Nothobranchius furzeri: one gene and its partner. The protein of the gene in region 1 interacts with the protein of each later gene in a pairwise test. Links are inferred from orthologs where the notes say so. Each region holds a gene or a part of one and is shown in the gene's direction. Other genes may lie near its edges. The genes, in order: rxrgb and mpped2a.

Region 1 (10,480 bases):
CAGGTAGGGAGGGTGTGGCTCTAGCTCGGTATTTACTCAAGCTCTCTAGCTTGAGACCTGTTGTGCCTCATCACATGTAATGGTACACAATACATACAAAAGGCCTATTTTGTGTCATTTTTTGATTGGGTGTGTGCATTTGTAGCTCAACGGCTTTTTTATGTGAGTGCATGTGCTGATCCCGAGAAGAAGAAGAAGATGAGAGTAAAAGAAGGGGTGTAAGGAGGCCATTCGCAGGGCTAATTGCCAGTAATTAGTCATTAGTGAAGAAGGTCATAGCCATGATTTAATTCCAGCTTTAATCAAGCAGAGAACCTGGAAAAGCCCTGCAGGCTGCAGCAGTACTCAGTCATGAGATACATTAAGCTATTTCTTTGGTAATTATGCAGTAAACACGCACGCACGCACGCACGCACGCACGCACGCGCGCGCACGCACACACACACACACACACACACACACACACACACACACAGCTACAACGGCGAGCCTACAAAATTATTCCTTGAGGGAACACTGTTGGTTACTAGTTTATTTTACTTTTCCAGAGAATCCCCAGTGCACTGATTTATTCAGAATGTATTTGGAATTGATGCATTCTTAATGAAAGCTGACACAGCCCTATTTAGTTTTACTTTAGTGTGCTGCTACACGCTCATTTTCATAAGGCGACTTGTACAGTTTTGTTTGTAAACATTTGTTACTTATATATCATTAGTATCATTATTAGAATTTTTTCTTATGTTTATTTCATTCATTTAAAAAATACAACAAATAAATAAACAATATACATATAACAAATACAACTTGAATGAAAGGGAGCAGATGGAAGAAAAAGTCTTATAATTTCTGCCCCCTTTTTTAAAACAAAAATAACAAAACTATCTTTATGCATTCCCTCGAAGTTCATTCTGTCACGTTCCTTGTCCATATTTCAATTATAGCCATTATTCACATTCATATCCACCCAACACACTCGATCTAATATATTCTCTAAACACTTATAGAGTTCTTGACTCTTTCACTTCTCTGTCCAGGCAATTTATGAACTAATTGAATATGATTATATTTTTGAAGGATTTCAGCTACAAAGGAATAAATCAGAAAACATCATGCAACTTTGCAAAGTATGTTTTCAGGTTGTTTACTTTTAAATAAGCAATATTAGTCGTTATATATTGCAAACCCTGTTTCTCCAGTAGAAAAATGCCTCCATCTGAAAGCACCGCTCTTCCTTAGACATTGCTTATGCTTACAGAGTGGTGATGTTTTCTACTCTAGCTGATTGGTTGTGATGTTTCTGTTGTGAGTTAATTTCTCAGCCATGTCTGTTGAGACTACTCATTATTTTTGATGTCTTTGTTTTAATGCTGGGGTTTGTTAGGTATGTAATAAAATATTTCTACAATGAAATATCCCAATATTTTTTTTGATACAGAATCAATATTAAAAAGTAGAAAATAAGTTTTTGAGGGGAATTTACATGAAAAAACTTACTGCATTTCTTTTGTGTGGTGCAATTCAAACTCCGACCACTAGTTGGCAGCAGTTTTTGCTGCCTTCATTCTAATGAAACAACGTGATATTGCGATAACACTGCATGTGTCTTAAGTGCCTGACCTGAGGTTTCAATTTAAATTCATCATCCTCATCCTCATCATCATTTAAATTTGGTCCTAAAATATGCAAATATTGCCCGGCTTTTAGTCCAGTACGGTATTATTTACCCTGGATTGTGATTTATATTGAACCGGCAGATTCTTGCCAATACACACCACTACTGCGCATGGTTCAAACAATGGCTTGAGTGTGTGTTGGTGTCTCTTACCTATATATATATGTATATATATATATATATATATATATATATATATATATATATATATGTATAAGTGACATCTCTGCATTTGACCCATCCCCGTGGGGAGCGGTTGTCACGTTCTGCCCCTGCCTTCCTGACTGTGTCTCTCTCCTGCCCTGATTAGTCCTTATTGTTCTCACCTGCCCCTCGTTAACCTGCCCATGTGTTCCTGATTTCCCTGTGTATTTATACCTCCCTCCTTGTACCAGTCTTCGTCAGATCATTGTGTGTGTTAGTTGTCAGCGTTGTGTTTGTCCTGCCGTTCCCGCTCAGTTATTAAAATCATTTTTACTTTATCCGAGCCTGCATCTTTGACTCCTGAGCTGCTCCACCACACTTGGTCCATCATCTCCACACCCACAACGTGACAGCGTTGAGCTGCAGTAGTGGCTGTGCTCAGGAACTATTTGGTTGTTTAACTCCCCAATCCAACCCGTTAAAGCTGAGTGTCAAGCAGGGAGGCATTGGGTCCCATTTTTGAAGTATGACCACTGAGAAGGTAGCACTTATGATCTGAATGCCTTGTCATATTTAGAAGAATGATGCTTCAATCCCTGATGTGAGCCTCTTTAAATAATAGTGTCACATATCAAATTTTAAAAGGTGGACAAAAGCACTCGTGTCAGCTCAGAACAGGGCAAGGCAGTCCTAGTACCCGAGTGCCGCCATCCAGCATGTTTTAGCTGTTTCCCCATTCCAACACACCTGATTTAATCAGTAGGTGATGAGCAGGCTTCTGCAGAGCTTGAAAACCTGTGAGCAGGTGATTCAACCATTGAATTAGGCTTGTTAGAGCAGGTGAACAACTAAAACATTCTGGATGGTTTCACTCGAGGACAAGGATTGCTTACCCCTGGTTTAGAACATCTTAATTTCCTTTTTTTCTTTTCAACGTCCTGATGGTCTTGTACAAATTAAGCCCAATGTGATTACCCCTTTCATAAAAAGTCAGTGCTGGCAGGGAGAGCAGGCTGTAAAAAGAGACTTTTCCTCCTGTGATAAGCGTTTGCTGATTAGATTATTACAAACGGAGATTAAACATGTAGGACTCTACCCTAAATTTAGGGATTCCAATTATAACTTAATTTTTCTTCACAATACTTGCATGATTTATAATTAGGGCTCTCAGGGTTCATTTGACATGTTCTATGTGGGCCATCATAACACAGCTAGATCATATGAATGAATAGATTATTATAATTTCTCCCTGTGATGATTGCTGAATTTGAAAGTGTTTCATCCCTGCTAAGTTGTCTTACGCTCATGCCAGGCTGCTTAGTTGTCTTTGCCAAGCTACAGTCAGTGGGAGGATATGGTTACTAGAGTTACAGCAACGTGCAGGTGTCCAGAACAAGAAAACTTTGTGTAGCCCTGCATGCACACACAGGGAGGGCCTCTCAAGTTTTAAAAGCTATAGACTTCAATGCAGAGGGGGAACATTTGATAGGTTTGATGACAAAGGAAAAAAGAACATCTGCAGACTCTACCCAGTCTGTTCCACATTTATTCTGTGCTGATACTTTTTTTTGTTTGCATTGCAAATATTTCATTCAGCTTCATTAAGGCGCTGTTTTACACTTGTTTGAAGGCTTCTTCTGATGGATGCGGTCCATAAACAGGGATCATATTTCACATCATGGGCTTTGTAGTCTTATTTAGGTTCCTCTAAGGGGTTGTAAGGCATTGTTCTCGGTTGCCTCTAGTCATATTTTTGGCCTATGCTTGCATGTGGGTTTTCACTTTTGCAGCGTGTTTTTTCTTCTCCATCCCACAGCATTGGCAAAAGGACAATTCCTGACTTCCTGGAATGTTGTAACATTCGTTAAACACACAAACATATGAACCCAACACACAAGCAACTCAACATGCCATCGGGGATGTCATTCAGCATGCATGCAGCCATGTTTATTTCTTTGCATGATAGGGGGTCTGGAGGAAGATGAAGCAGGATTTGTTTGACATCTGCTTCCATCTTTTCCTCCACTTTCTTCACTCTGCTCAGAAAAAGAGAACGAAAACAAGAAGGCATTTCTTCGTTGGCAACATCAAGGTTGACATCGTGTCTTCTCTCCAGCCTTGATCCCTTTTATGAGGCGGTAATCAGACTCTTCTGCTTGTTCTGGACTCTTTTTAAGTACGATCCCACCCCCTCGACCCACCCCCTCTCTGCCTGTCACCTCCGGTTGTGCAGCTACAACAGGTGTCCTCTGTGCAGACAGATAGACATGAGTTGAGTAGGTGGTGCGCGAGCTGATTTGTGCAGCGCTCAGCCTGCAAACTGTTCCTTTGGGATTGATCTCTGTGGAGGGATAATCTGGGTAATCCTATAACTGGCACCAGTGGACTCTGCCTGTTTTGCTTTTCAGTGTCACGCCCCATGCACCCACTGCCTTCATCAGCACACACCCTCTTTCTCCACATCAGATCCTTTTGGTCCTCTTGTGAAAAGTGGTTAATTGAGGATCCACCAAACCACTACTCGAGTCTGACAGCCAGTCGATGTAACTGGCGTTCTGCCAGCTCCACATCAACTGAAATCAAAGGCATGTGGCGATCTGTGTCATCACCTACAACTGGGAACAGCCCTGGGAGAGAAACAGGTTGTTGTCGCTGTGAGTAGATGGTCTTATTTGAAATTAAATGATCACAAGATTGATTTTTACACACAGGCAAAGCTTTAAAATTCTATGCTGTAACCATTTTTTAAAGTAATGTTGCCTCCAAGGAGTTAGTGTGAGAATCGTTGGATATTCTTTGCATGACCACAGTGATTCAATCCCTAATGCAAAGACTTTATTTTGCTTGAAAAATCATATCAAAGTCCTCCATTTTCATTCCTCCCGCAGCTCCATTTGTGCTTTTAAAATCATTGGATCATTTTAACCAGTTGTGACAGGTACAAGGCTTTGCTGTTTCGCGTTAGAACTGAGAGCTCGTGACTCACTCTAAGTCTCAGATGCGTTCAGCGGGGATGTCACTCAGCCTAAAAGGATGCTTCTAGCTCCCTTTGCCTTGTCCTTCACTATCTGTTTAACTCTCAACACTTGTCCCTTCCTATTAGACCCTTTCTATGCAGCTCTGCCTCTCTGTTTGCCTCTGCTGTCTGTCACCTTGTAGCCTTCCATCAATGCTCGCCCTGATGACTTTATCCTCTTTCCTGCTGTGGAGTGGCATGCATTAAGGTCCGCTCACTTGAACAGGTTAGCCTATTTCAAGTGGCTTCATTGTCAATGAATGTTTGTGAAGTTGGTGCTAGCTTCTAAGTGTGCTTGTGAGAGGCTTGTGGAGTGTAGATCATCTCAACGGGAAACCACAAGGATGTTCATTGGCCTGAAAAATTGTCTTTGATGGCAGATCATGTGCTGCTTGTTGATTTTATGAGGGTCTCTTGTTCTGGTTTGTTCTGCAGCTGGACAGTAGACACAGCCTTGTTATAATCCATATAACTATGAGACCCAGCAAGATGAATTCAACACAAAGGGGACTGGATTTTATTTTATTTTATACATTTAATGTAATTTATAGGAATTCTTCTTCTTCTTCTTCTTCTTCTTCTTCTTCTTCTTATTATTATTATTATTATTAAGGGACCCTTCTGCTCTGCCAGCAGGTCCCTTACTGTTATGCACCAGAGAATTTGTTCTCATTTCTCATCTCGGTACGTGTGTGTTCATTAACGCTTTAGCGCCAACATTTCTGGGGTTGTCCACTGCCATTCAGGCCACAATGTGCACACCCACAAATGTTACATCAAAACAACCGGCTTGTCCATGGGAGGTGTTTGTTTACCCCTACGTCACAGGAAAATCAAGAGTTTGGGTTGACCCTAAGGTCACCCCAGTAACATGATTTTGGGCCTAACACATGGCCACTAGCTTGTACCAGTGGGCAGGTCCCTTTTCAAATTTCTTCAAGAATTTTCTAGTTGTTTGAATGTAGTGATCCTGTTTCTCTTTATAGTTAGTAAGTTATTTAGTTTATTATTCTGCTTCCATACATTTTTTGGCATTTATCTACTTCCACAATTCTTCAACTATTTACATAATTTTGGTATCAAAACGCTCAGCTTGTCCAGCTTATGCCGGCAATGACTTTTGGTGTTAAAATATTTTATACTTTTTGAGATATTCAGCTTTTTCTGCGATTTTTGGTCCCATTGAAATGAATGGGATTGCTCAATTTTCAGCTAAATCCTATCACTTTTTTGAGCTCTTACTCTTATAGGTTAACTTTAACCTAGAGACTTCATTCAAGTTTCAACAACCTCACAAGACTTTCAGCTATTAATGGTTTAAAATCTTTTTGATATCTATTACAGTTTTTCTAAAATCACAGGTAGAAGTTGAGGTACGACTTGAGATTTTCAGAAAAATTCACTAAAATTATAATGGGCAGAGATAGGAGCAATGACCCTCCTTTGCTCCATTTCTGGCATTGTCCTGAGAAACCCGTAAGTCCGATTGAAATGAGACGCATGCTGGCTTGCAGCTAACGGATATACCTTCATTTTGAGCTATAAATCACGAATGTACTCCAAACATTGTGGCTGTACGGTTCATTTCTTTGACAATATTCAAAATTTAAAAAAAATTTCTTCCACTCTAAACTGAAAATTCCACACTCTAACTTTTGACCTTCACATTTTCTGGAAACAACTCTTTCCAACCCCCAGACCGTTTGGAGAACCGACACAAATTATATCACAAAAAGTAGGAATTTTTGTCAGCTTTTCAGAATGGGTTTCATTTCGTCCTTAAGTGTTACATTTCATTCTCTACAAACCTTGGAAGGAGGAGAGACCCTGATTCTGTCTCATTGAAACCCATGTTAACGGAACAGAGATTTCCTCCTCCGATCGGCTTCAGACAGCTAAAATGTTCTCGTCATAGCTTCTAGACAATTCATGGTAGGCACATGAAAATTCACACAGATGACCATCAAAGCGGAACCGCCCCCTCCTCTTTCGCTGCTCTCTCATTGGCTGAGAGTTTTCAATCGTCTTCTGCCCAAAAGGAAATATGCACCCACACATATGATACATCAATTCAACCTGCTTGGTCCCAGGAGTATTGTATTAACTTGATACTGTGTTCTGCGTTACCATGGCAACGTGCATAGCAACAACATTTAACAACATTTTAGACACAACTGTATCAACATACTTTAATATAGAAATGTTATTCCAAGTTTAAAAGAGTCATGTGACATTGTACATTGCTTTATTAATGCAGACTCCTGTCATCTGTTACCATGGCAACACAAGGAACTACAAATCACTTTGACCAAGTCTCATAGGAATGAATATAAAAAGCTGAATATTGAGCCAATAACAGACTCCTGTTTTTGATCTTTTTTAACTATCTGTCCTTAAAACTAGAAATAAGTTCAATTTGATTGACCGCCAGAAGGTGGGAAAGTGCCCCGCTCTCTCCCAGCTCCCTGATTGGTTGAGAGAGGTCAATCATCTTCTGGCTAAATGGACTTACACACCCACACATGTGAGACATCAAATCGATCGGCTTTGCCTAAAGAATCCATCCATCCACATATAAATCCATCCATCCATCCATCCATCCATCCATCCATCCATCCATCCATCCAATAAACCATCTAACATCCATCCAACAATCCATCCGTCATTTCATTCATGCAACCATTCATCCATCCCATACCAAGTCTGAACATATATATATGTTAATCTATCAGTTTCAGATATCAGCAAATGTTTCTAAATTCACAGTTCAGCCAATTGTAAAAATGTACCCGTTAAACAATTCTCATTCAAATGCCAGCTGCTTAACATTTCAAATTTTGAGTTTTTAATCTGTGTTCGAAAATTTAAGTTTTCTGCTGTTTAGCATTTTTTGTCCATTCTTCACCTATTTTCTGGGCTTTAATACACTTGTTGGTGATTTTTGCTTCTAAATCTTTCAATACATTCAGCTCATTTTGACAGTTTAGCTTATTTTCAGCTTCACTTCAGCTATTCAGCAGCTTCAGTAATCAGTTTCTGAATTCGGCATATGCTGCTCATTTCACAGTTCAGCTAAATGTAAAAATTAAACTGTTATCTAGTCCTACTGAAATAACAGGTGTTTAGACATTTTAGCTGTCCAGTTTTTTAAACAATGTTCACAGATCTCAGTTTTCTGCGGTTCAGGATTAATTTTCTTGAATCTTCACTTACTTTTTGTACTTTATTTGCTTGTTGATGCTTTTTGCTTTCACATCTTTCACTACATTCAGCTCATTTGCTAGTTTAGCTTAGTTTCAGCTTCACTTCAGATATTCAGCAGCTTCAGCAATCAGTTACCAAATTTAGCATAAACTGCTAATTTCACAGTTCAGCTAAATGTAAAGATTAAACTGTTAAACTTGTCCAACTGAAATTACAAGTGTTTAGACATTTTAGCTGTTCAGATTTTTATACAATGTTCACAGATTTCAGTTTTCTGCTATTTAGGATCATTTTTCTCCATTCTTCACTTACTTTTTGTGCTTTATTTGCTTGTTAGTGATTTTTGCTTCTACATCTTTCAACACATTCAGCTCATTTTGACAGTTTTGCTTACTTTCAGCTTCAGTTCAGCTATTAACCCTCTGATGCATGAATTATGAAATCTTCAACTATGATTTTTTTAACATTTTTTTCTTTCATCTTTAGGTGTGAATGAAACAAATTTCAACAAATATTTTTTGTAAAATTTTATAATTTACAAATAATTTATTACATGTCCACCTCAGTGGACAGCGTGCATTCTGAGCATGAAATATGTTGGCTTGGCTTACTGAAGTCCAAAACGAGGGGCTCAAATGCAATAAAGTCTTCAACAGCTGTGCTTAATAGCAAAAACAAATAAATAACCATTTTGAGTATCTGTCCACTGTAGTGACCATTATGCATCAAAGGGTTAAGCTGATTCAGCTAACAGTTTAAGCTATCCAGCATTCAGACAGCATTTCTGCAAGAAATCTAGTTATTATTATTATTATTATTATTATTATCATTGTTGTTGTTGTTGTTGTTATTATTATTATTAGTAGGAGTAGGAGTAGTAGTAGTAGTAAAAACAAAAGCATAAAATCAAAACATACATCAAATATTTTAAATGACTTCTCACCCATAAAAGCACATTTTTTTCTTGAGTTCTCCTTCACTTAAAAATGCAGTAGTTAACTAAAATAATACATCTTTTGTTTTAGTGATGCACAGATAGGAAAGTTTTGAGCCGATACCGATATCCATTATTGATATTTACCGATACCGATATACTGACATTATTGCTTCATAAATCAGCAGATTTTGTATAGAATGAACATGAATAAAGCTGAATTTACATAATTATGTACACACGCCACACACATTTACACTTCTGAGATGATTACACTCACTGTCACATGACTAAACAAATACACATCACTCCCCTCTGAAACAGATAAACAAATATAGACAAGATGGAAAAAATGCGGGTTGTTCATATCAGCCCAGTTTTATTTATGGGGCCGATGCTGATATGTTAAAAAACGGCTAACGCCGGCCGGTACCGATATTGATGCAGACATATCATGCATCCCTAATTATTTTCTTTAAAAACTGGTCCAAACATACCAACTGAGATTCACTAATAACCATTCTTTCAGATGACTTCATTGTGTTCATATTGACTTCTGTTTTTGAGTCAGCCATTTGGCTTACAATAAAAATAGCCAAGTTATTTTACAATAGGTCATTTAAAGTTTGACTAAGTGGATTTTTACTCCCTGTGGTTAAAGGAATTATTGAAAGGAAATCAAAGAGAGACGTTGAAAAGGTGAAGTTGTATAAATAAACTGTTCTTCAGTTCTTCTGTTTAGTTTCAAACAGAGAACTGCCATAATAACCTTTAAATGAACTTATATTAAACAAGCACCTCCTGCTTGTTTGTTTGGGTTTGGGTTAGGGCTGCATGGTGGCGTAGTTGTTAGCACTGTTGCCTCGCAGCATGAAGGTTGCAGGTTTGAAACTTGGCTGCAGCCATTCTGCTTGGAGTTGCGTGTTCTCCCCATGCATGCGTGGGTTTCCTCCGGTTTCCCCCACAGATCACAACGTGCCCTATAGGTTATAAATTGTAAGTCGCTTTGGATAAAAGCGTCTGCCAAATAAATAAACATAAACATAAACATTGTTTACATTAGCATCCAAATAGCTTCAAATCTGTTGAGTTTCTCGTGTCTAAACTGTGGACCAAATGCTAAACACGATGAACTAAGAAAGATTTCCGTCCATCGTCAAGTTGAAGTGAAGTGGGAATGATGGTTTTCAGCACTGGTGCTTGATGTCCACGCAAACAATTATTAGAAAGATGAAGTCAGACTGCTGCTTTTAAAGCATTTTGTCCTCCATTTTTGGCAGTAATGTTGAACATCCATGTGTGGACGAAGGCCAGACATTGTCTGGTGCATTTTCTCTCTTTCTTACTTTGTTTTGGAACTTCGTGTACAATTTTTTTGGTGTTTTTTCAGTTTTCAAATGTTCTCAGACTCGCCTGCGTCACTGTCACAGCTATCCATCCAGTACATTTAAAAGCAGACGGCATTGACCGTTGTGCTTGTGTTTACACCAAACTGCATCAGCCTCTT
Region 2 (9,992 bases), on another chromosome or scaffold:
AGGGAGATGCTCCTTGGGTAGTCTCTGATTACAGAAACAAGCCTTTTGGTTCACATGACAGCTAAATTACTGGATTAGTCAAATAAGCTGATTTCCTGAGTGTGTGTCACTTGTACACTGTGTTAAACTAGGAAAGTAGGATTCGACGTGTTTGTTTTATCATCATTAAATCTATTTATTGATCTTATATAATATCTGTGTTGTCAAAAAATGTCTAAATAGAACAAGCTGACATTTGACCAGAATTCAACCTAACATGCTAAATAAACTGAACAGATTTAGAAAATTGTTTCCTCTAGACCAGCACAGTGTTACCAACATTGTAGTGTAGGCCTAGTTTGTACCTTTCCGTTTGCGTCGGTATGGAGCCATGCAACGCCATTGTGCGTTGACACAAGCGCTCTGACGGGCTCACAGAGGAAGATTGTGACATGCCCGACGTTTTAAACATAAGTCAAAAGTGACGCAGAACGCAAGCTTGTGATTGGTCAGGACACCGCTTCCTGTAAATTTGGCAACAGCACCGCCATTGCCCCCATGAAAATAAAAAGGTTACTTATAGGGATGCCCGTTTTCCCAGAGTAGTTTAACCGGTTATTGAAGCCATGAAACAGTTAATACTCGGTTAACCGTGACCCGCCTGCTGAGTTGGGCGTTACTTTGCATTTCTGAGCGGTTTGACCAAAGCGTTTACGGTGTGTACAGTAATGATTGATTACTATTACTATAACGTCATTAGTCACCCGCGGTATGTGAGACCTTGTCAACATGTCGGGAGTGCAGCAAAACCTAAAATGCTATTCTGGTCATCTGTTAAGATTGCCTGTATTTTTAATATTGCAATATACGTCACTGTGGGTTATAAAAACTGCAATGGGATTTTTTCCCCCAATACCCTGCAGCCCCAGTTTCCACTATCAGTCAGCGTGATCTTGAGTGCTTGTGAAAACTTTAAAGGGTTTGTGAGGAAAGATGCCTCCAAGCTTCTGCGTTTAGAAGGCCAAATCCAATGAGGTGTTAAGAAAATGGTTAAAATGATCTGTTAAATGAGGAAGGAGTGTGATTTAAAAGGTGTAATGAGAATGATGCAGTGTGTGTGTGTGTGCTGTTAGAGGGTTGTCCTGTAGCCCATCCAGGGACTCAGAGCATGCCGCTCGAGGGAGCTGAGGGGTTAAAAGTGGTGTCACGCCCGGAGAGACCCTGCGTCACCGTCCTAATGATGTCCAACGGCCTAATTGAATATTGACGTTCTGCACACAAGGGCTAAATGGCTTGTGTCTGCTTTACCTCTGCTGCTGCTGGCCACAACTAGAGAATTTTAACCCGTTTGATTCCTACAGGATAGACGATCGTTAAATGTTCCTGTTACCAAGGTTACCAGGTTTTTGTCCTTTGATGCTCTGATCCTTGTTTTGTTTTTTGTTTTTTTTGGCTGCTGTATTGAGGTGCAGAGGTTTTAATTGAAAGAGGACGTTCCATGACGTGTCTTGTGATTTTCCTTGTTAGTCCATTTGATTCACTCGCCTCCTGTTCTGCATCACACAAACACCTGAAAGTTAGAATCTGCTTTTGACTTTAAAACCCCACTCATCCCTTTCTTTTCCTATGTCAGCACCTCCTTCCACCTTTTCTGCTTCTCCCACTTCTGCTTCTATGTCTGTGACAGCGTTTCGCTTCCCTCTGAGCTAGCCTCCAGACGTCGCTACTCTGTTGCTACGGTGACGCTCTCCAGATGGCAAGTGTCAAGGCAAGACTGGGCTCTGAGTGTTGTCTGATCTCTGCACACGTTAGTCCTCTCTGGCAGCAGAACGCCGTGTTCTACACGCCGGTGCTGCTCACACTCGGCACCTTTGTCACAGCCACACAGGAAAACGCTCGCTCCTTTATGCGACCGGGATGTCATTAATCTAGGCGGAGGTTAACAAATGCGCTCACATGGAGGGTATATTTCATAGGCAGGCAGCCAACAATGGGGCCATTGTGGCATGGAGCTGTTGCTCCCCGCTCTGCATTCAGTCAGGACCTTTGGTCGGCTCCGGATCCACGGCTCATGTCGGGGGTTATGTTTCATCTCCCAGATGAATGTGTTTATGTGGGGGGAAACCTGTGAAACACCAAGCAAAATTAAGGCTCCAGCTGTTTATTTATTTTTTGCTGCAAGAAAGCGTGATTTATTTTTCAGAATTCGAAGGGGGGCACAATTGCATTTGGTCATTTTTCAAAGTTTGGCCTTGTGGCTATTAGTCAAACCCAGAGCTAGATGAATACCCTGCTGCTGCTTTCTGTGTGCATCCAGCTGACTGGGCCAGCTCTGCTCTGATTCACTGTTTGCTGAGTTCCTCCACAGCAGCAGCGCTATTTCCATCTGAAAAGTGGCGAGCCTTCTCAATAATCCATTAGACTTCCATTAGCTGCGATTTGTGTGATTAGTTCTAATTAATCAGTTCAGTCTGTGGCCTTCGCTCCCCTGCGCGCTCCTCACATTTCATTTTTAACCTCATTTCTCAGCTCTCCACTGAGCGAGAGAACAAGGCAACGACTGAGCGAGCAAATCAAAGAGTGAGCTTCAGGTCCGCCGCCGCCTTTCAGTCAGAGTGCACAAACATTTAACACTCGGAGCAGGTGCCTGTGCTGCATTATAATACCCGTTTGTCTCAGCACTCTGAATGATGGGTGTTTTTCATTGTTGTGGTGATATTTTAGGTTGTTGGTTGTGTTTTAGAAATGAACCGGAGGGGGTTGTGGTCTCATGTTTTACACATCTGGGGCCCGCTCTGCCTCTGGTCGGTCCCGCTTGGCTCTCTCCTCTGGAACACTCGGTATTGATTAGTGCTGGAGCGTCCATCCTTCACTGTAACACAGCCTATCGATGTTTGTGGAGCCCTGATTTCCCTTCGGTCAGATACCATCCGTGGTGCCATCGCTAAGTGACCGGGAGCTGCTCTGAACTCTGCACATGATGGAGCTCAAGTCTTTTCATCAGCGGCTCGGCCCCTCTTAGCTGCAAGCCTCAAGTTAACATCTAATTTTAACCTGTGTTTGTTGATGTCGGTTGACTTGTATACTGACTGAGGTATTACGTGATGATAATCCGTCTTTTTTTCCTCACTTGTCAGCCATTACTACTGTTGTGACAAATGAAAGCTCAATTCCTCAGCTAGCCTCCTCTCAATTTCTTTTCCTCCCGTTGGTTTTGACGACTTCTGCTCCTACATCCAACCCCCACACTTTATTTCCTCATCTGTTTAAACCCTCTGACTCTTATCTATCCTTTCCTCATCCCCACTCAGCCAGACCGAGGCTTTCTTTGTGTGTGCCGGAGGAGGCTGAGAAGCTGCTTGTCACCCCAGAGATGCAGACTCCCATCCAGGCTGCTGGAGGTGGCCCGGCTGCTGTCAGTCAATCTTTAGACGGGTAGCAGAGGGAGAAGCGGCTGACACATGATGTGGCTCCCCGCTGTTTAGAAATTCACTTTTCTTCCTTTCTACCAGTTCTGTGCAGTCAGTGGTTCAGTTTTAGCTGCTAAAATGAATGTGTGACTGCTGGAATGTAAAAGCACTAGTTCCGTCGGATTGAACCAGGCCTTCACAGTTCATGGATGACCAATCTGATTCGTTAGCATGTGCTGAAAGATCGCCCAACCATCTTGTGTTTTTATATATTACAACCAGTTCTCCTGTATACACCTGTGTGTTTAATTTATGATGAGAAAACATATCGGTACCATTCCTGGTTTCACGTTAAATAAAAGGTTTCTGACTCATTAAAGTTATTTGCAGTCTGAGTTTGTAGTGTTTAACGGGCTGTAGACAGACTGGAGAATCAGGTAAGAACTCTCTTAGAACTGCTCAAAGCAGAACTCATTTAAAGAAACATTAATTACGTTTCCCAGTATCTCCCTCCCAGTGGTTGAAAGTGGAATTAAAACTATTGTAAGCAACTCCGCTGCAGCCTGTAGTGCTAACAACAAGCTAACTCTAAAACAAGCCAAGCGATACTGAATAAATCGAAGTTAAAAGATTCACACTGTTGGACAGAAAAAGAAACAAGTCCAGTAGCAACAAAGCTAGGTCACCATCAGTTTGTGGTTTCCTTCAGCTCCCTCAGATGGGTGTAGGTCGCACCAATGTTTACTCTGGTTTTAGTGATTTGCTTCGCCTCCAAAGACATTACTCTCAAAAACATTACATTCTTTCACTTCCAGGCTCCACCATGACGTCTAGTTAAATTATTTACGTCTGCTTCTTTAGTTTTTTGATGGTTGGCTAACTGTTAGCCTTTATATTAGCTACCATCTCAGTAAATGGCTATTTCCTTAAAGTAGGTAAAGGCCTCAGCCTAGTGCATCTACCTGAGCCACAAAACTAAGTGCAGTTTCTGGTCCGCAGAGGGCTACATAGGGCTTACCAGTGTACACTTGGTCTAGTTTCTGCTTCAAGAGTCGCTGAAACCACTTTAAAAGAAAAACCTTTAAGTGTTAAAACTCTTTGAGCAAACTTTCTGCAATCTAAAGCAACTGAAACTTTAAAAACTGCAGAGAGAAGTGAGTTTCTCTCTGATTGTCTAAACTAAGATCACCCTGACTGCTGTCTGCCGTAGGTAAGATGCTGACCGCTCAGAAGGACTCCACAGAGACCACATTAAAGCACTCCCAATGTTACCAGCAACAGCTGAAACATGTTCTTTATAGAAATGTTGATATTTTGCTCCCATTTCCACACTGGTAAAGAACCATTTAGCATCTGTGTGTTTGTTTTGGATCCATGTCCCACAGCATCATTGTATATGTGCTTGTTTTTCCCTTTAATGGTAAAGATAGAACTCATTTAAATAGAAACGTGTGCAGATGCAGACCCTAGCGACATAAAGTGTTCATCTTCACATGATTCATGAAGGTAATTTGATGAAAAGGGACACAGGGTGCAAATTATGTGAATATGAAATGTTATTTATGGTGAAATGTTGAAAAGAAGGATAAAAAATGGGTGATGTTTATTGCTTTTGGACATGATTGTTGATGAATGTTGTAATAATGGCGGAGTGAGTGATGCTAATGTGACCCCCTCTCCTCCGTCTCTGCAGGACTCCGTGGTTTAACGGCTGGGGGTTCAACCTGCCTCGGGGTCAGTCTCTGCTGGATAAATGGAACCTTGTCCCCGAGGGCATCGACATCCTGATGACCCACGGACCTCCGCTCGGTGAGTCCAATTAACCAATCACAGCCCCCTTGTTGCCAAATATAATGAAGCTGTGCCTCATTATTCAAAGTCTGGATGAGGCGTCTGGAGGCAGAGCTGTGAATGTGTGTGTCTTCAGCCTCTGTGTCGACTCTGTTTTGCATCTAAAGTCGGTTGTGTGTGCAGCCAGAACTCAAACATACTTCATAATTCAATATTTTTGTTTGCTTTAAGGGTGGGGGGTGCATATGTTTTTTCACTGCAAAATGATTAGATTTTCCTTCTAGCTGTTTGGATCCCAGTTGTTGTTTTTTTCCCTTCTCCTTCGTGTTCTCCATCTGGCTTTATTGAGAGATTTCCTTCCCTTTCGCCTACGGAGAGGCGCTGCTGCTACTGCAGCAGCCGCTGTGGCTGTTTGATTGCATGGAAACTCGATTTCACCACGGTGTGACAGACGCTGCAAACGACTAGAGAGGGACCGTACAAGAGAACGGCTGCGCTGGAGGGAGGAGCCAGCTCCAAATATAGGGAGACAGACAATTGGGGTGGGGGGGGGGGGGGGGGGTGTTAATGTTTCACCAAGATCTTGCACTGATGATGGTGGACTGGGGGCTGCACAAGTGAGGTAGACATATGAAGACACGGATTCATCTGGCAGAATGTTGAGTTTAAATTAAAAGGCTGGCATGTCAGCATGTTTTCTCTGTCAAGGTTGAGTTTTATGAGTTTGAACTGAAGTTAAAAAAAGGCATTAAATCCATCCAAACGGGAACAGGAGACCTGCTAGGCTCTGATAATAATTCCTCTGTAAATATTTGGCTGAACAGTCACCCGTGGTGCATCAGGAAGCAAGATTGTGATTATTTATAACTTCTACAGAAACACTTTGAGTTAACAGAATTATCTCTAAAATAAGATGGTAAACCTGAAACCGACACAAGTCAGAGCCTGTGGCCACATTCAGATTTAGCTCTGGTTGTTTGTTAGATGTGTCCATCACGGGTTCAGGACCGGTCCAAAGTGATGGAGATGCCTTAGAAAATGGAGAGAGCTGTCTGTAAAATGTTTCCTGTGGATGTGTGTACAGGCTTCAGAGACTGGGTACCTAAAGAGCTGCAGCGGGTCGGCTGTGTGGAGCTGCTCAACACGGTTCAGAAGAGGGTGCGACCCAAACTTCATGCCTTTGGAGGCATACATGAAGGTACTGGCGATGTTAAGATCCCTGCACATGTGTGTGTGTGTGTGTGTAATCATACAGAGGTGCCAACTGCTCCATGCTCAAAGAAGGATACTTAAAAGGAGAATAAATTTAAATCGGATACAATGCTTGGCCCAAAAAAAGTTGTCGCGAGCGTGTCCTATTTGTCGGTTCCTTTAAAACCTGGTTCCGTTAGAACCTATACAGGGTGTCCGCGGGGTTTTAAAAAGTATTAAAAAGTGATAAATAAAAATAGTCAAATTTAAGGCCATTAAAAGTGTTAAATTTGGTCTCAGAGGTATTATTTTTTCCAAATTAGGTATTATTTTTTCAGAATATCAGATGTCGTATTCTGAACATCGACATAGAAATATATTCCGAATGAAATGTTTTGAACGATTATAAAAATAAAACAAGCCGATTATTTGCTCCTCCCACTTGCACTGCCCTGAGTTGCAAATGAAGCGCTCCTCCACAGTGTTGCCAACTTGGCGACTTTGACGCTATTTCTAGCAGCTTCTCAGACCCCCTTCTTGATTTTTTAAATCTTAAAAGTACCTAGCGAACACCTCAAACATCTCTGGTAACCCTTAGCTACTTTCTGGATAACTGTCATCGACATTTCCTGCAGGTTAGCTAAACACTCCGCCTGCACTCCGGACCGTTCTTCAGGACATTAGGAAAGGGAATGATGTAGTGATGTGTCGGTCGCTAAAGAAACGGCTCTCAGAGCCGGCTCCATGTTGGATTAACCAGAGTGAGTGACACACACACCGCACCTGCGGACTCCTGAGCCGATAAAAACGGCTAAATGTGCGCGTGCAGCATGCTAAACACACGTGCAGCTTGCCCCTGATTGCTGTGAGACCGGGTGGGGGGGTGGGGGGTGCAGCTGTGTTTGGGACAATTATTACATTAACTGATGGATTTGTAAATAAATAGTTTATAAATAAGGTAGAAATAAGTTCCTCACGCTGATAAATAATAACTAATCTCTCTGAGGACACGGTGCTAGTGCACTCTCCTACAGCACCTTGACACGACTAAATAAATGTTATGCAAAATTTAGTGAACATCAATTTGCATGTATTTGTTATAAATGCCACTGTATAATTCTTGCTGTCAGTATTTGCAAGATATTGGTATTTGGGTCTGTACTGGTTAGACTTAAATGAGTTAAACCAAGGTCTATAGCCCTTGGGTCATTTGCTATAAGTATATTGGTCTTTTTATCCTGGGAATCAGGAGTTAATTTAGTGATCATCTTGTTTCTTGTTTATTTTTGCCCTGATTGTGCCCTGAGCAGTTTTATGACTGAATAAAAACAACAAAAAATCTACATAAATTGAAAAATCATCTTAAATAATCGAGATCTCAATTTCAGTCACAATAATCGTGATTATTGTTTTTGCCATAATCTAGCAGCCCTACTTTAGCATATCCGGTCACATAATGATGACGTCATATTCAGTGGTCGTTGTGCATCATTTAAGGCCTCGTGGTCAACTGAACCGCTGAACAGAAGTGCCTGGCTTATTTTCTAAGTAAAATAAATATGTGCAATACGTTGTCAACATCAGTGAGTCTCTAAGTCTATTCTTTTTGTATGTTATATATGTTAAAATATGTGTAAATAGGTCGCTGATTAACCCTTTTTAATTTAGTGTTGTGATGGTTTTAAAAAAATTCTGAAGGTAGTAAAAAAAGTATTAAAAAGTAGTAAATTTTACTTAAGGATTGCTGTATATACCCTGCTATAAGACTGCACTGCTTTCTCAGGGTTCGTGGGGCGTCGTTGAGTTTTATTGTATTAGACCCTGGTTTGGACTTCCTAATTAGAATCAGTTTCCTATTTTAAGGTGAGAATGATATGCCGTACTTTTTTCTTTTTTGATAGCTTACTTTCTTTTTAGTTTCTCCCGTTATTTAGTGGTTCTAAATACTAGGGCAAAGTTCAGAAGCAGGCCATTCTTCTGACAATTATTTGGATTATATTAGGATTAATTTGCGCCTCTGTCAGCTTTTGTGAGCGGTGGCTACTATAAAATGATTCTTGTTAGTTGATCAGGCTAACATAGATTTATCAATTAATCTAATTAATCCAACCTTCCCGCGCTGGCAAAGACTTTTTCACACTTGCAAACAGAGCCTATTTTAACCTACTAATGTTTTGGCTTATCAATCCTTAAGATATCTCGTTACTCACGGGAGAGGAGAAGACTAGCTTCTTCACTTAAGGTTTCTTTTCTTAATCTGTCACAAACTGTAAAGCAAGTCCTGAAAATTCAGGAACCTGTAATTACAATATGCTTACCTCTCCTATTGTTTCGGGTCGGACTCTTCTTGACCTTCTGCCCAATTTTACTCCCAGAAGCAAGTTCTGATCCCTTATCTCTGTGACCCTTCTGTGAACCTCGCTTCTCACCACAGTTTCTGACCCGCAGGAACGTGCAACAAAGTCACCACCCAAATCATCTTAGCTCATCCCCACCAGCGTGTGAATGGATGAATGGTGCGCTGTAGTGTAAAGGCCCTATACAAGTGCGGGTCATTTATCATTTGTAAATATGAGGAAGTAAAACAGATTCTTGTTTTCTTAGACTCAATCTTTTGTTTTGTTTTGCTTTAACTCTCAGCGTGTAGACTGACTCCTTAAGTCAGCTGTAGCTGTTGGTGCATTTCTCATGAGTTCAAACAATGGCAGCGTACGGTGATACGTATCACATCTGCCACAGAGGTGAGCTCTGATCACCCACTACGTCGCCGCATAGGCCAAACCTCCCACACATCAGTGACTTCCTAAAGGTTTGATACTGTAATCAGCTGTAAATGGAGACTCCTGCTGATGGTTTCTGCGCTGAACCCGGCGCTCACAGACCCGTGATCGTTTATTAAACTTCCAGTCTGACTCTGTCTCCTGTCCCAGGGTACGGGATCATGACGGACGGCTACACAACCTTCATCAACGCGTCAACCTGCACTGTCAGCTTCCAGCCCACCAACCCCCCCATCGTTTTTGACCTGCCCAACCCCCCCAGCTCCTGAGACCAGAGGACTGTCAAGGGCTGGATGGACAACGACTTTTCTATAAATATTTCAACTTACAGAAAAATTCTAAGTGTTTCTTTGCAAAAAAAAATTAAAAAAAAAACAAACTTTTTTGCTCTTCTCCAAGCTGTTGTTGAGATGGAGAGGACATTGTTGGGTGGGGTGGGGTGGGGGTTCACTAGGAGCATTAAAGGAGAATACCGGTGTTTTATTTCTAAACCGTGCCAAGTTCTGATTTCCTGCTCAGATTCACTCTCAGGTGGAAAACAAAATGAGATAATCCACCAACAAACGTGCTTTTATTTGTATTTTACTGAGCAGAGTTTAGTCTTCATCTCACTCTCTGTTTCCTGTCATCCTCAGGAAGGCAGCGAACTAGCTAAAAACACGATGCCTTAGAGCAGAGCGCCAAACGAAAGTGACACATGAACTCGCACAGAAGAACCGATTACCTGATCACAGAGAAACAAACCGCCACTAATCCTTTGTGTCACATGTTCACGTGTACGTGTTCCACGAAGCCGTGAACTCAGGCCGGCTGAGCCTGGCTGACGCCGGTATTCTCCTTT

What was found.
Region 2: the proteins of rxrgb (region 1) and mpped2a interact in binary tests that used the Homo sapiens proteins (3 or more experiments, as listed by UniProt). The two-hybrid records come from large-scale screens. The link is inferred for Nothobranchius furzeri from reciprocal best matches to the Homo sapiens genes RXRG and MPPED2.

Annotation. Positions count from the first base shown.
Region 1 is NC_091748.1:54,258,632-54,269,111, forward strand, and holds the start of rxrgb (retinoic acid receptor RXR-gamma-B), read left to right. Parts: upstream 1-4,069; 5' UTR 4,070-4,238; coding exon 4,239-4,473; intron 4,474-10,480. UniProt on the Homo sapiens protein: Receptor for retinoic acid. Retinoic acid receptors bind as heterodimers to their target response elements in response to their ligands, all-trans or 9-cis retinoic acid, and regulate gene expression in various biological processes.
Region 2 is NC_091749.1:52,334,952-52,344,943, forward strand, and holds part of mpped2a (metallophosphoesterase MPPED2a), read left to right. Parts: intron 1-5,082; coding exon 5,083-5,198; intron 5,199-6,264; coding exon 6,265-6,378; intron 6,379-9,301; coding exon 9,302-9,420; 3' UTR 9,421-9,992. UniProt on the Homo sapiens protein: Displays low metallophosphoesterase activity (in vitro). May play a role in the development of the nervous system.